3 linked regions of the Xenopus tropicalis genome follow. The protein of the gene in region 2 binds, or shares a complex with, the protein of the main gene of each other region. Links are inferred from orthologs where the notes say so. Each region holds a gene or a part of one and is shown on either strand. Other genes may lie near its edges. The genes, in order: kcnip1, kcnd3 and kcnip2.

Region 1 (3,657 bases), on a different chromosome or scaffold from region 2:
CGTCTAATCTCCCCGATATGCCATCCCACCGGCGAGAGTGTAAATTGCCAGTGAGGTGGCATACGCGGCGCGGCACAACGATTTGCTGAAATCGTCGAAATTGCCATGAGAGGAAACTTCTGTCATTTTGGTGCCGCATATGCCATCCCACCGGAAATTTACATTCTAGCCAGTGGGATGGCATATTGGGGAGATTTGTCGCGCGGCAACTAATCTCCCCGCCTGCCACGGCCCTAAATGCTACCTACTGATTTGTTGCTATAGGTTACTGCAACTTATTTTTCCAACTTTACAAATAACAGATTTTTACCTACACAAGATAATAGAGGCTTATTTACATCCACAAGCGCAGTGGGCAACTTGCCCTTTTTTTTTATTATGTAGTAGCGCCAAAATGTGCTCCTCTTTATAGTTGCACTAGGCTCTGCTCTGTCCTTTCTGCCTTCTGTTCCTAATCGTGCGGTGCTGTGTCTAATGACACTGCATCCTGCATCAATTTTTGCCATTTTGGCAAACTGCAGGAGGTGCAGAGCAATTGCACCAAGAGAATCGCCTGGGAACTCGCTGCATCGTAAAAAAAAAACATGCCAATTGCACTCAAAATTGCACTTTGCTCACTGCACTTGTGAAAGAAAATGAGCCCTAATGAGTGATTAGAAATGTGATACTAAATTTGCTGAAATTCTTTAAAACTGAACTAATAAAATATGGTTTAAGTGTAAACTTAGGAAAAATATATTGAAATATATTGGAATTTTTTTTTTTCAAAATATGTGCTTTATAATCAGCAATGTTCATAAGTCAAGGTTTTACAGAACTGACCCATTTTTAAAACAGAAGTCGTAACCTAATGCCTATCATATAACGAATAAGAATAAATCATGCTTTGTATTTTTTTTTAAGGAGATTAAAAAAGATTAAAAAGAACCAAACAGTTAAAATATGACATGCTGTCTGTTTTAGACAAAGTAGAAGATGAGTTGGAGATGACAACAGTTTGTTATCGACCAGAAGGACTCGAACAGCTTGAAGCACAGACTAACTTTAACAAAAGGGAATTACAAGTTCTATACAGAGGATTCAAAAATGTAAGTGTGCAAATTAAGTAAATATTATGTACATATTGAAATGTGATTAAGTCTCTCTTCTTTCCCCCAATTCCACCTTTATCTTCTCCTGTCCCCTTCTCTCAACTTTTTTCCTATACTTTCTCCATCTTTCCCCTTCTTTCAAATCCTGTTCTTCTGCTCTCCACTTCTCTTTGCCCTCCCCTATCCCAGTTTCCCCCACATCCCAGCAGAGTGTTTTATTAATGTATTTATTATCTTGTAGTATAGGTTGATATAGGTCGGTTGTTGGTTGTGGGGTAAACTATGAAGTGCAAGTATTTGGCACAGAAAAAGAAACCAATCTAAAATAAAACACTTGGCTCAAATAAATAACTTTGCTCTAGAAACCAATTAACAACATAAGGTACAGGCAGTTGTCTTACCAAGAAACTTCAGATGACTTTGGAAGATGAAGTACCGCATATGCTTTCCCATCATCGATTTATTTTATTGCCGATGGGAAAGCATTATGGGGAAATCTGGGCTACTCTGGGTGACAAATCTCTCCCGATATGCTTTCCCACCGGAAACAATACTTCAATTAGCCAAAACTATAAACCATAAGTGTCCTACCTGTATCACTTCACTTTTTGGGAGCTAGTAGGAAGCAGGTTGGGCATTCCCAGTTAATCATGCACAGCCTTATTTATACATGCTACGGTTCTAAAATGGACACCTCTATATATATTATCTTTCACACTGATACACACAAACATATAATTTTTAAGGGGGATCTTAAACCTCCAACGGATTTAAACATAGTAACCTAGTAATAAGGTTGAAAGGAGACACATGTCTATTGAGTTCAACCTTTTTGTCTAAGTGAAAACCTGCCTAACCGCTAGTTGATCCAGAGGAAAGTGGAAAACCCCATCTGAAGTCTTCAAGGGGGAATCATTCCTTCCTGACCCCAGGATGGCAATCAGACCAGTCCTTGAATCAACTTGGACTAAACACTTTCTTCTATAACCTTGTTTTTCCTCGCTTGCTAAAAAGCCATCCAACCCTTTCTTGAAGCTATATAATGTATCTGCCAATATGACTGATTCAGGGAGAGAATTGCACAACTTCACAGCTCTCACTGTAAAATACCCTTTTTCAAATAATGTGAGGGAACCTTCATTCATCTAATTGGATTGGATGCCCTTGTGTCGTATCTGCTGAAAGGACCTACTTGTAAATTAAACATTTGAGAGATTATTATATGATCCCCTTATATATTTATACATAGTTATCATATCCCCACTTTTTCATAAGTGACTTTTTCTCTAGTATGAACAACCCCAACTTGGCCAGCATGTCTTCATAACAGAGACTTTCCATAAATGTAACCAGCTTAATTGCATTATCCTTTTTGGGACTGTTATGTATTATATCACATGTGGAAGTCCCTGAGAGGGGATGTAACACTAGTGCCTGACCTGCCAGCTGGTACACTGTTGGGGGAGCACCAACTAACTAAAAGTATTTGGGAGGTAGAAGAGGGTAACACCTAAACAAGGGGTTTATGTTAAAAATACTATAGGGCTTATTTACAAACACATGTTCAGTGTGCAAAGTGTAATTTCCGATGCAATTTAATTTTTTAACCTACACTGACATATTTTCCACGATTCCGAAGTAACTGCAAAGTGGCTTATTTGGTAGAAGTAAAGCACATGCTTTTAGGACTATTTAGGTTGCTGTCTCAGGCATGGTATATCATATCACATCCTATTATATCAGATAATTGTGGGATTAAGTCTGATTCGCCCAAATTAACACATTACGCGGAAATCCAGCTAGCATCATTTCTAGTGTTTGCCATGTGAGTGATGCAGAGCGTAACTATATGGAAATGCAAAGAAAGCATTTTGGCATAAGTACCTTTAATGAAAGTGGTTGTGCATGTAACTGACTGCAGGTGAAATGATGGTGACCGCAACTGCACTTGTGGATGTAAATGAGCCCTATAACCCATAAGGTAATATTGCCAGTTAGCCAGTATTGCTTGTCAAATTATTACAGTAGTAAAGTGAGTGGTGTATACTCTGATGTGATATGTTTGCTGTGCTTTGTCTGTAACGGCAATGTGCAAATTGGAACATTTGGAAACTAAGGTTTGAGGTTTGCAAGTATGTTGCAGTCCACATTCATTTGCTCATAAAACCACTTACATTAAAGGTATTTGTGACAAAATGCTCCTCTGCATAGTAAGAATAGGAATGGCTTGCAGTCATTCCTGCCTTCCGTCCCCCTGTGTGCGCCTATTGACTCAGGGGAACCCTGCAGCCACCACCATCTCCTGACCAGGTGGCAGCTCCAGGGTTCTCTCCCCTTCCCATCTGATGCTAACTCAATGCTAGGGGCTTTTATGATAACGAACATGCAAATAATGCAGTAAACCTGAAATTAAAATGTCTACATGTCTATATGTCTGGTAAGAGATTTCTTTTTGCACAGGTATAAAATGGCATTTTAAATTCACTTGGAGATATACATTTACAAAACAAATTGTAGGGACATATTTTGTAACTGATAATGCGTTTTTAACTCTAAAGTATGCTTA
Region 2 (3,116 bases):
TGCTTACCTCTACAGTACTGAGGGGGGTCCAGGGGGGTTGCATTGCTAGCGTAGAGAGAACAATTGTAGCCACTGTACTAGAAGAGCAGAATGTCTGGTTTAATAACTAAAATTTAGCTCTTAATGTTACCAGGAACGTGTTTTTGCAACCCCTTGTATCTTTTAGGGCAGTGCTGTCAAACTTCTGTGCTACTGAGGGCAGGATTTTTTCTGGCCTACATGATGGAGGCCAGATAATGGAAGCCAGTAAACCACACCCACTTGAAACCATACCCGTGTTATCACATGAACATACCAATATTAATGGTGGTAGTACAGCAAAAACCTGACTTACTCTGCCTTCCCTACCCTGCCTGTGTGTGCCATACTCTGTCTGCCCTATTCTGCCTGTGTGCCATACTCTGCCTGCCCTATGCTGCATGTGTGTGCCATACTCTGTCTGCCCTATGCTGCCTGTGTGTGCCATACTCTGCCTGCCCTACCCTGCCTGTGTATACTATACTCTGTCTGCCCTACCCTGCTTGTGTGTGCCATACTCTACCTGCACTATGCTGCCTGTGTGTGCCATACTCTACCTGCCCTTTGCTGCCTGTGTGTGCCATACCATGCCTGCCCTATCCTGCCTGTGTGTTCCATACGCTGTCTGCCCTATTTTGCCTGTGTATGGCACACACAGGCAGCATAGAGCAGGCAGAGTATGGTACACACAGACAGCATACAGTGGCACAATGCTAGCACTGCTCCTACAGTCTGCATAATAACTATATATTAAGAAACTTTTTAATTGCAGTACCACCTCAGTATAGGTTCTTTTTATAGTGTGCAGGGTTTATTTGTGGGTTTCTACTGTTCCTACATTCTGTTCGAGGTGTGAACAGGTGAACAATGTGGGGTTTACAGTCAGAGCCTGAGGTACAATGCAGAGGGTGAACAATGTAGAGATTAAAAGGTGTGAAAACACAGGGGATTACATTTTTAAAAAATACAGGGGGTTTACAGCCTGAGATGTGAACAATGCAGGGGGCCAGTTAATCACAGTACTGATACTATTTAAAGCTTACACAAAGGTAAGCCATTACAGCAGCCAGACAGGTGGGGGGCCACACAGAGGGGGGTCGGGGCCACCAGTTGGACAGCACTGTTCTAGGGTTCTCAAGGCACAAGCACCCTTGCACAAGCTCTTATCCTAAGTATATCTCTAGAACTCCTGCCATTAAGGCAAGTTAAGATTCCTATTTTTCTATAGCTTTTTCAAAATCTTTCATCTATAAACATTCAATTGTTGAAAATTCTAGCTGCTATGATTAAATCATATAACAGCAACATATTATACAGCACTTTATGGAGAATGTTAATTATCATTCACATAGTTCCTGCCACAGTAGCGCTTACACTCCCTAATATATACATATTCTTACTACCCGCCACTAACAATATTAGCTTCAATTCTCCTGGTTTTGTTTCTCTTCCCATTCAATCTGTTTAATGCTAGAAACAGGCCCTCTACTTCATGAAATCTGAAAATGTATTGCCCCAGGGGATGATTTAAAGAGCCACTATACCGTAATATTTTAATTTATCCTTTACAGTTCACTTTGGATTTGGGTAATGGAAATATTTTGAACTGAATGTATATTTATATTCTTTTCTACCATCTGCCAAAGAATTTCTCTTCAGCTTGTTGGTTGTCTAGCCAAAAAACATCTTTATTAATTCACATAGCTCCTTATTGTGTAATAATCTTTCTTCAATAAGACAAATCTGGTGTGACCTAATAGTCAAGGTATTGTTGCATGGTATTTTGAGGGTGTAAAAGAAGAACAGGGTCATAAACAGAATTCTGCATATAAGAGATGAGGTTTTCTCACAGTGTTTTCCCTGAAAATAGAACTCCAATAAATTTGAAGTGTAGAAAGGTTGTAAAAGGATCCCAGAAATAATGGGGGCCATTTACCAACACAAGTGCAATGTGCAAAATGCAATTTCTGATGCAAATTAGAGTATTTTATCCCTACAATACAGAGCTTTTTTACCATAATTCCAATTATGATATAAAAGAGGATGCCCCAATGACAGAATATACTACAAATACTATATTATTGCAAACACGCTTGTGTTTGCACAAGCATGCTTTGCTGAGTTGTGTCCCATTTGATTTATGCTGCATCCAGGTCAAAGTCCATATTATCCTGTGGAGTGATCACTTATTACAGCATGTCTTATAAATTACATATCACATTATGAATGCGACAGTGGAGTCACAATTGTAAAAAGGTTTACTCCATCATATTACTACAGCGACATTGTTGTAATCTTTCCATCTTCTGTAAAATACTTTGACAGCTATTTACTAATATCTTTTTATGCACACTCACCTAGCTGTTAAAGATGGTTGGTCACTGCACTGTATGTGAATAGTGCTGAGTTCCTGCATGCTGCGCAACCTTGTTGCCGGCACATTGGAGTTAGGGAGGTGGGTGGTCTTTTTGTTGCGTCTGGAACAGCAGGAGGTGGTGAGCCCATGGTTACTGGATAGGGATGGGCTGCGACTAGATGGGTAGTTTTGCATGGAGCTCTCCCTGCAGTTCTGTTCAAACATCTGCTCATCCATAAATTCATGGTTCTGTGGAGATACCAGGTGTAAGTAGTACTAAAAACAGTGTATGAAGGCAAAAGGTTAATCATAGAGAAGCATAAACATAACACATCAGCGTGAAAAAATTCCAAGGAAACCATAAATATTGATCTCAGAGCTTTATAGGGTAACTTGAAAAGGGTAACTGAAAATCATGAAGAATATCAAAACCAATGTATGGAGAATGGGAAAGCTGGTTTAACAGTAGTTGCTTCAACAAAAACAATTGATAATTGATCATTTATTTCTTATAGTTTTTATATTTTTCTGCTGTTCCAAGAGATAAGCCAGAAATGTTTCCAATTAACAAAGGTGGTTCAGTGAAAATAACCCTGTAAGTTAGGTAATAATGCTAAGCATTCTTATAGTTAAGTACAAAGTACCCTAGCTAGAAAACTTTACTTTGTGGGTATTTTAGTGTATATTCCCATATTACATTTAAAGTAATATCTCATTTATATAGTCAGTTGTTGCTAAATAA
Region 3 (3,657 bases), on a different chromosome or scaffold from region 2:
GTTGAAAATGGATTTAGTCTTATTTGTATGAAAACTAGTAACTGTTATATTTTGATAATGTTTTGCCTTAAATCCCTCCCTTTCAGACAGTGTAGAAGATGATTTTGAGCTGTCTACCGTTTGTCACCGTCCTGAAGGATTGGAACAGCTACAAGAACAAACCAAATTCACCAAAAAAGAACTTCAGGTTCTATATCGAGGCTTTAAAAATGTGAGTATGAGATTAAAACAAGCTGGATCTCTTTATAATATTATAAATATTGCCTTAGCCATTGGGGTGAAGTGAATGTATGGCAACAGGGCTGGTTTCACACTGAAAGGAAAGAGTATTGTCTTTAAAAAGCCAGATATTAAAAGTATGATTAGATAACATCTTTCATCTAGAAATAAAATATTTTTGGCAGTAGCAGTTTTATAAAGATTTACACAAAGATTTATCAGCATGCAGGGACAGGATTTACATTTTATTTCACTTTTGCCAGTACAGGTATGGGATCCGTTATCCGGAAACCCGTTATCCAGACTCCATTTTAATCAAATAATTCAGATTTTTAAAATTGATTTCCTTTTTCTCTGTAATAATAAAACAGTGCCTTGTACTTGATCCCAACTAAGATATAATTAATCCTTATTGGGGGCAGTACAGCCCTATTGGGTTTATTTAATGTTTAGTTAATGTATAGCCTGCTTGGAAATAGGGTATATAAGAATCAGTATCATATATGTAAGACAGAGCCCCCATTCTGGGTTTGACTGGTGCAGGCCTCCTTCTACTCAGCATGGTCGTTGCACATGTGAAGGTGCTAACATGCACGGTGCCCTATAAAGGGGAAGGATAGCTAAAATGGTAATACCTGGAGGGTAAGTGATTTCAGATCAGAGGGCTCTGTCTAAAGGTGGCCATACACGCACCGATATTATCGTACGAAACCTCGTTTCGTACGATAATCGGTGCGTGTATGGTATGTCAGCGAGCCGACCGATGTCGCAGGAAGCTGCTGAAATCGGTCGGCTCGTCGATCGGCCAGGTTAGAAAATTTTGATCGGGCGCCATAGAAGGCGCCTGACCAAAATTCTCCCTTCAGAGCTGAATCGGCAGAAGGAGGTAGAAATCCTATTGTTTCTACCTCCTTACCTGCCGATTCAGCCCTGAATGGTGTGTGGCGGATCTGACGATGTTTCGTGCGACCGATGGTCGTACGAAACATCGTCGGATCGCCACGTGTATGGCCAGCTTTATGTGGCCTAAATGGCATAAAGCTGTTGGCCATGGGAAGCAGCTGAACAGTCCAAAAAACCCTTTCTCTTTGTCACAGGCTTTCATTGCTCAGAAGAGTGAAACCAGATTGCACATCACATTTAAAGCAAACAAAACTTTAGCAGTCTCAGATACTCTCTGTATGAGTGCATTTTACTTTTATTTTTCCAGAACCATTGATCAGATTCTATTAGGTACGATAAACAGCAAGTGGTAAGGGAACTGTCCCTTCCATTATTTTTCATATTATCCTAACACTGCCAGTATAAAGTGGTGATGCCACAGTGGCCTCCCAAACTGATTTTAAAAGAGTATTGAGAACCTAATACTTAGATATGAACAGTGAATTTAGAAAATGTATGTCCGAACCAACATGGCCATACCCTCCATGTATTTCTGAATGCTATATTGACGCATGGTCTATCATTGGTTTTTAAGGATATTACAGTTCTGGGGGGCCTTGGGTAAGTTTCAATCAATACAAGCCTTAATTACATATACAGAGGATAATCTGGTCTCCAGTTTATTAGAAGCCAACATGTGAAATTCTGCCAATTATTCTTAATATAAACTCAGAAGAAAAGATCACCTTGAACAGCTGGTGATTTATCAAGCCGAAACGGAGCTGGAATATCATTTTTGTGCCAGGGGTATACATTCGTGTTGCAATTAACTGCTGAACCTGTTGCCATTTCATAGGTTCATGCTAAAAAAGACAAGGACTATGAATAATTAGATAGTCATCAGGCTAGTTATCAGTTTATGCTTGTTAGAAACTGCAAAAATATAGACTACATAGGGAGTTATGTAATAAAAGTCACTAAGTTTGCCCAGGAGCAGTAACCCCTATCAACCAATCAGCAGGTAGAATTTACTGATCACCTGTTTAAAAGCAAACATTTTACTGGTTGCTGTGGGTTACTGCTACAAACCTAGTGCCTTTTTATCACATATGGGGTAAGAATTTCCAACCTGCTGACCCCACATTGCAAAGCCAATATCCTAACAGCTAAAGATCTTAATTAGGATGTAGGGTGGACGTTGGGTTGTCTACCTTTTTGTCTTCTCTGATATTTTAGTTTCTTCCATGGAAGCACATAACAGTCAAAATCAAGCTGATGACCCTCCCTCCCCAGCCAGAAATGTCCAGCCCTACACCCAGCTCTTGGATACATCTATTTTCAGGAGTTTGGGACATTTCTGGCAGGGTATCTTGGGTTCCCGAAATCCATCCTACTTGAAGTTCTGTGGCTACATAGACCACTTGCCTAAACTTTCACAAAAGTGTGGTGTGTGCAGTTCATCAGGACATGCTAAAGTGGTGCACTGGTGCTAATTGCAAGTTGCAGTGTGTATGGGCACAGGTATCTCTGTGAATCATGTTTAAATGCACGCAATTTTGCACTATTCTATCTAAAAATGAATTCCTGATTGGTTCCTATGTTACCTGCACTGGTATAGACTTGCACCTATGTTAGTAATTAAGCCTAATGATCTGTTACAGTGCCATAAGATATCAACTGTCAAGCATTTTAACATTAAATATCAATATATTCTTCTTTTTATTAACAGGAATGTCCAAGCGGAATTGTTAACGAAGAGAATTTCAAACAGATTTACTCACAGTTTTTCCCACAAGGGGGTGAGATTTAATTTTTTTCAGAAATGTATTTAAAATAATTTTAGTCTGTAACAGGTATAAACAGCTTCTTTTGCAGTATTTTACCTGCACACCCATTCTTCCTTCCCCATAACCTACTGATGAAAAGCAAGTCTTAAGGTCCCCATACACGGGCCGATTGTAGCTGCTGATATCGGTCCCTTGGAACGATTCGGCAGTTAATCAGCCCCGTGTAGGGGCAGGAACGAGGGGCGTGGCCGACCGATATCTGGCCTGAAATTGGCCAGATATCGATCGGCCAGGTTAGAAAATCCAGTCGGATCTGGGACCGCATCGGCTCGTTGATGCGGTCCCCGAACCAACTGCCCCATTGCCGCGTGCAGAATTTGATCGTTTGGCCCCAGGGCCAAATGATCGAATTCACCTGCATGCCTCCCCGATATTGCCACCCGCCAAGCGAGCGGATCTGCCTGTGTATGGCCAGCTTTAGGCATCATTCCACTCCTGCTAACTCTGATTTTTAAATTTTGTCTCTGCTAGTGCAGGGAGCACAATTGCACTCTCTGCACTAGTGATGCAGCCCCCATTGTCCGTCTGTGACGTTCAGAAAAGTAAGCACTGGTTGCAATGAGGGACGGCATCTGAAAGGCCACCTCGGGGTGGCAAGGACCCCAGAAGCCCCCCTGCTTGTGGGTGATTATCACAGGAAATTACTGTACAATAGCAGTCTAGAGCAAGGAAGAGTCTTATTTTATTTATGTTCCTTAATCCTTTCTTT

What was found.
Region 1: the proteins of kcnd3 (region 2) and kcnip1 are in contact, whole or in part, in a crystal structure (PDB 2NZ0), measured with the Homo sapiens proteins. The link is inferred for Xenopus tropicalis from reciprocal best matches to the Homo sapiens genes KCND3 and KCNIP1. Residues at the interface, in NP_001365898.1 of Homo sapiens: Ala6, Ala7, Trp8, Leu9, Pro10, Phe11, Ala12, Arg13, Ala14, Ala15, Ala16, Ile17, Gly18, Trp19, Pro21, Val22, Pro26, Met27, Pro28, Leu29, Ala30, Pro31, Lys34, Lys36, Arg37, Asp39, Trp54; in NP_001030009.1 of Homo sapiens: Leu67, Arg69, Gly70, Phe71, Glu74, Val80, Phe85, Ile88, Tyr89, Phe92, Phe93, Tyr101, Leu105, Phe109, Phe122, Ala125, Leu126, Leu129, Leu130, Leu138, Trp140, Thr141, Leu144, Tyr145, Ile161, Val162, Ile165, Tyr166, Met168, Met169.
Region 3: the proteins of kcnd3 (region 2) and kcnip2 are in contact, whole or in part, in a cryo-EM structure (PDB 7W6S), measured with the Homo sapiens proteins. The link is inferred for Xenopus tropicalis from reciprocal best matches to the Homo sapiens genes KCND3 and KCNIP2. Residues at the interface, in NP_001365898.1 of Homo sapiens: Val5, Ala7, Trp8, Leu9, Phe11, Ala12, Arg13, Ala14, Ala15, Ala16, Ile17, Gly18, Trp19, Met20, Pro21, Val22, Ala23, Asn24, Cys25, Pro26, Met27, Pro28, Leu29, Ala30, Pro31, Asp33, Trp54, Arg60; in NP_775283.1 of Homo sapiens: Arg112, Gly113, Phe114, Asn116, Glu117, Cys118, Val123, Phe128, Ile131, Tyr132, Gln134, Phe135, Phe136, Tyr144, Leu148, Phe152, Phe165, Leu169, Ile172, Leu173, Arg180, Trp183, Ala184, Leu187, Tyr188, Met201, Met205, Ile208, Met211, His228.

Annotation. Positions count from the first base shown.
Region 1 is NC_030679.2:32,041,774-32,045,430, reverse strand, and holds part of kcnip1 (Kv channel-interacting protein 1), read left to right. Parts: intron 1-963; coding exon 964-1,088; intron 1,089-3,657. UniProt on the Homo sapiens protein: Regulatory subunit of Kv4/D (Shal)-type voltage-gated rapidly inactivating A-type potassium channels. Regulates channel density, inactivation kinetics and rate of recovery from inactivation in a calcium-dependent and isoform-specific manner.
Region 2 is NC_030678.2:59,601,219-59,604,334, forward strand, and holds part of kcnd3 (potassium voltage-gated channel subfamily D member 3 precursor), read right to left. Parts: intron 2,624-3,116; coding exon 2,376-2,623; intron 1-2,375. UniProt on the Homo sapiens protein: Pore-forming (alpha) subunit of voltage-gated A-type potassium channels that mediates transmembrane potassium transport in excitable membranes, in brain and heart. In cardiomyocytes, may generate the transient outward potassium current I(To).
Region 3 is NC_030683.2:31,295,349-31,299,005, reverse strand, and holds part of kcnip2 (Kv channel-interacting protein 2), read left to right. Parts: intron 1-86; coding exon 87-211; intron 212-2,830; coding exon 2,831-2,900; intron 2,901-3,657. UniProt on the Homo sapiens protein: Regulatory subunit of Kv4/D (Shal)-type voltage-gated rapidly inactivating A-type potassium channels. Modulates channel density, inactivation kinetics and rate of recovery from inactivation in a calcium-dependent and isoform-specific manner.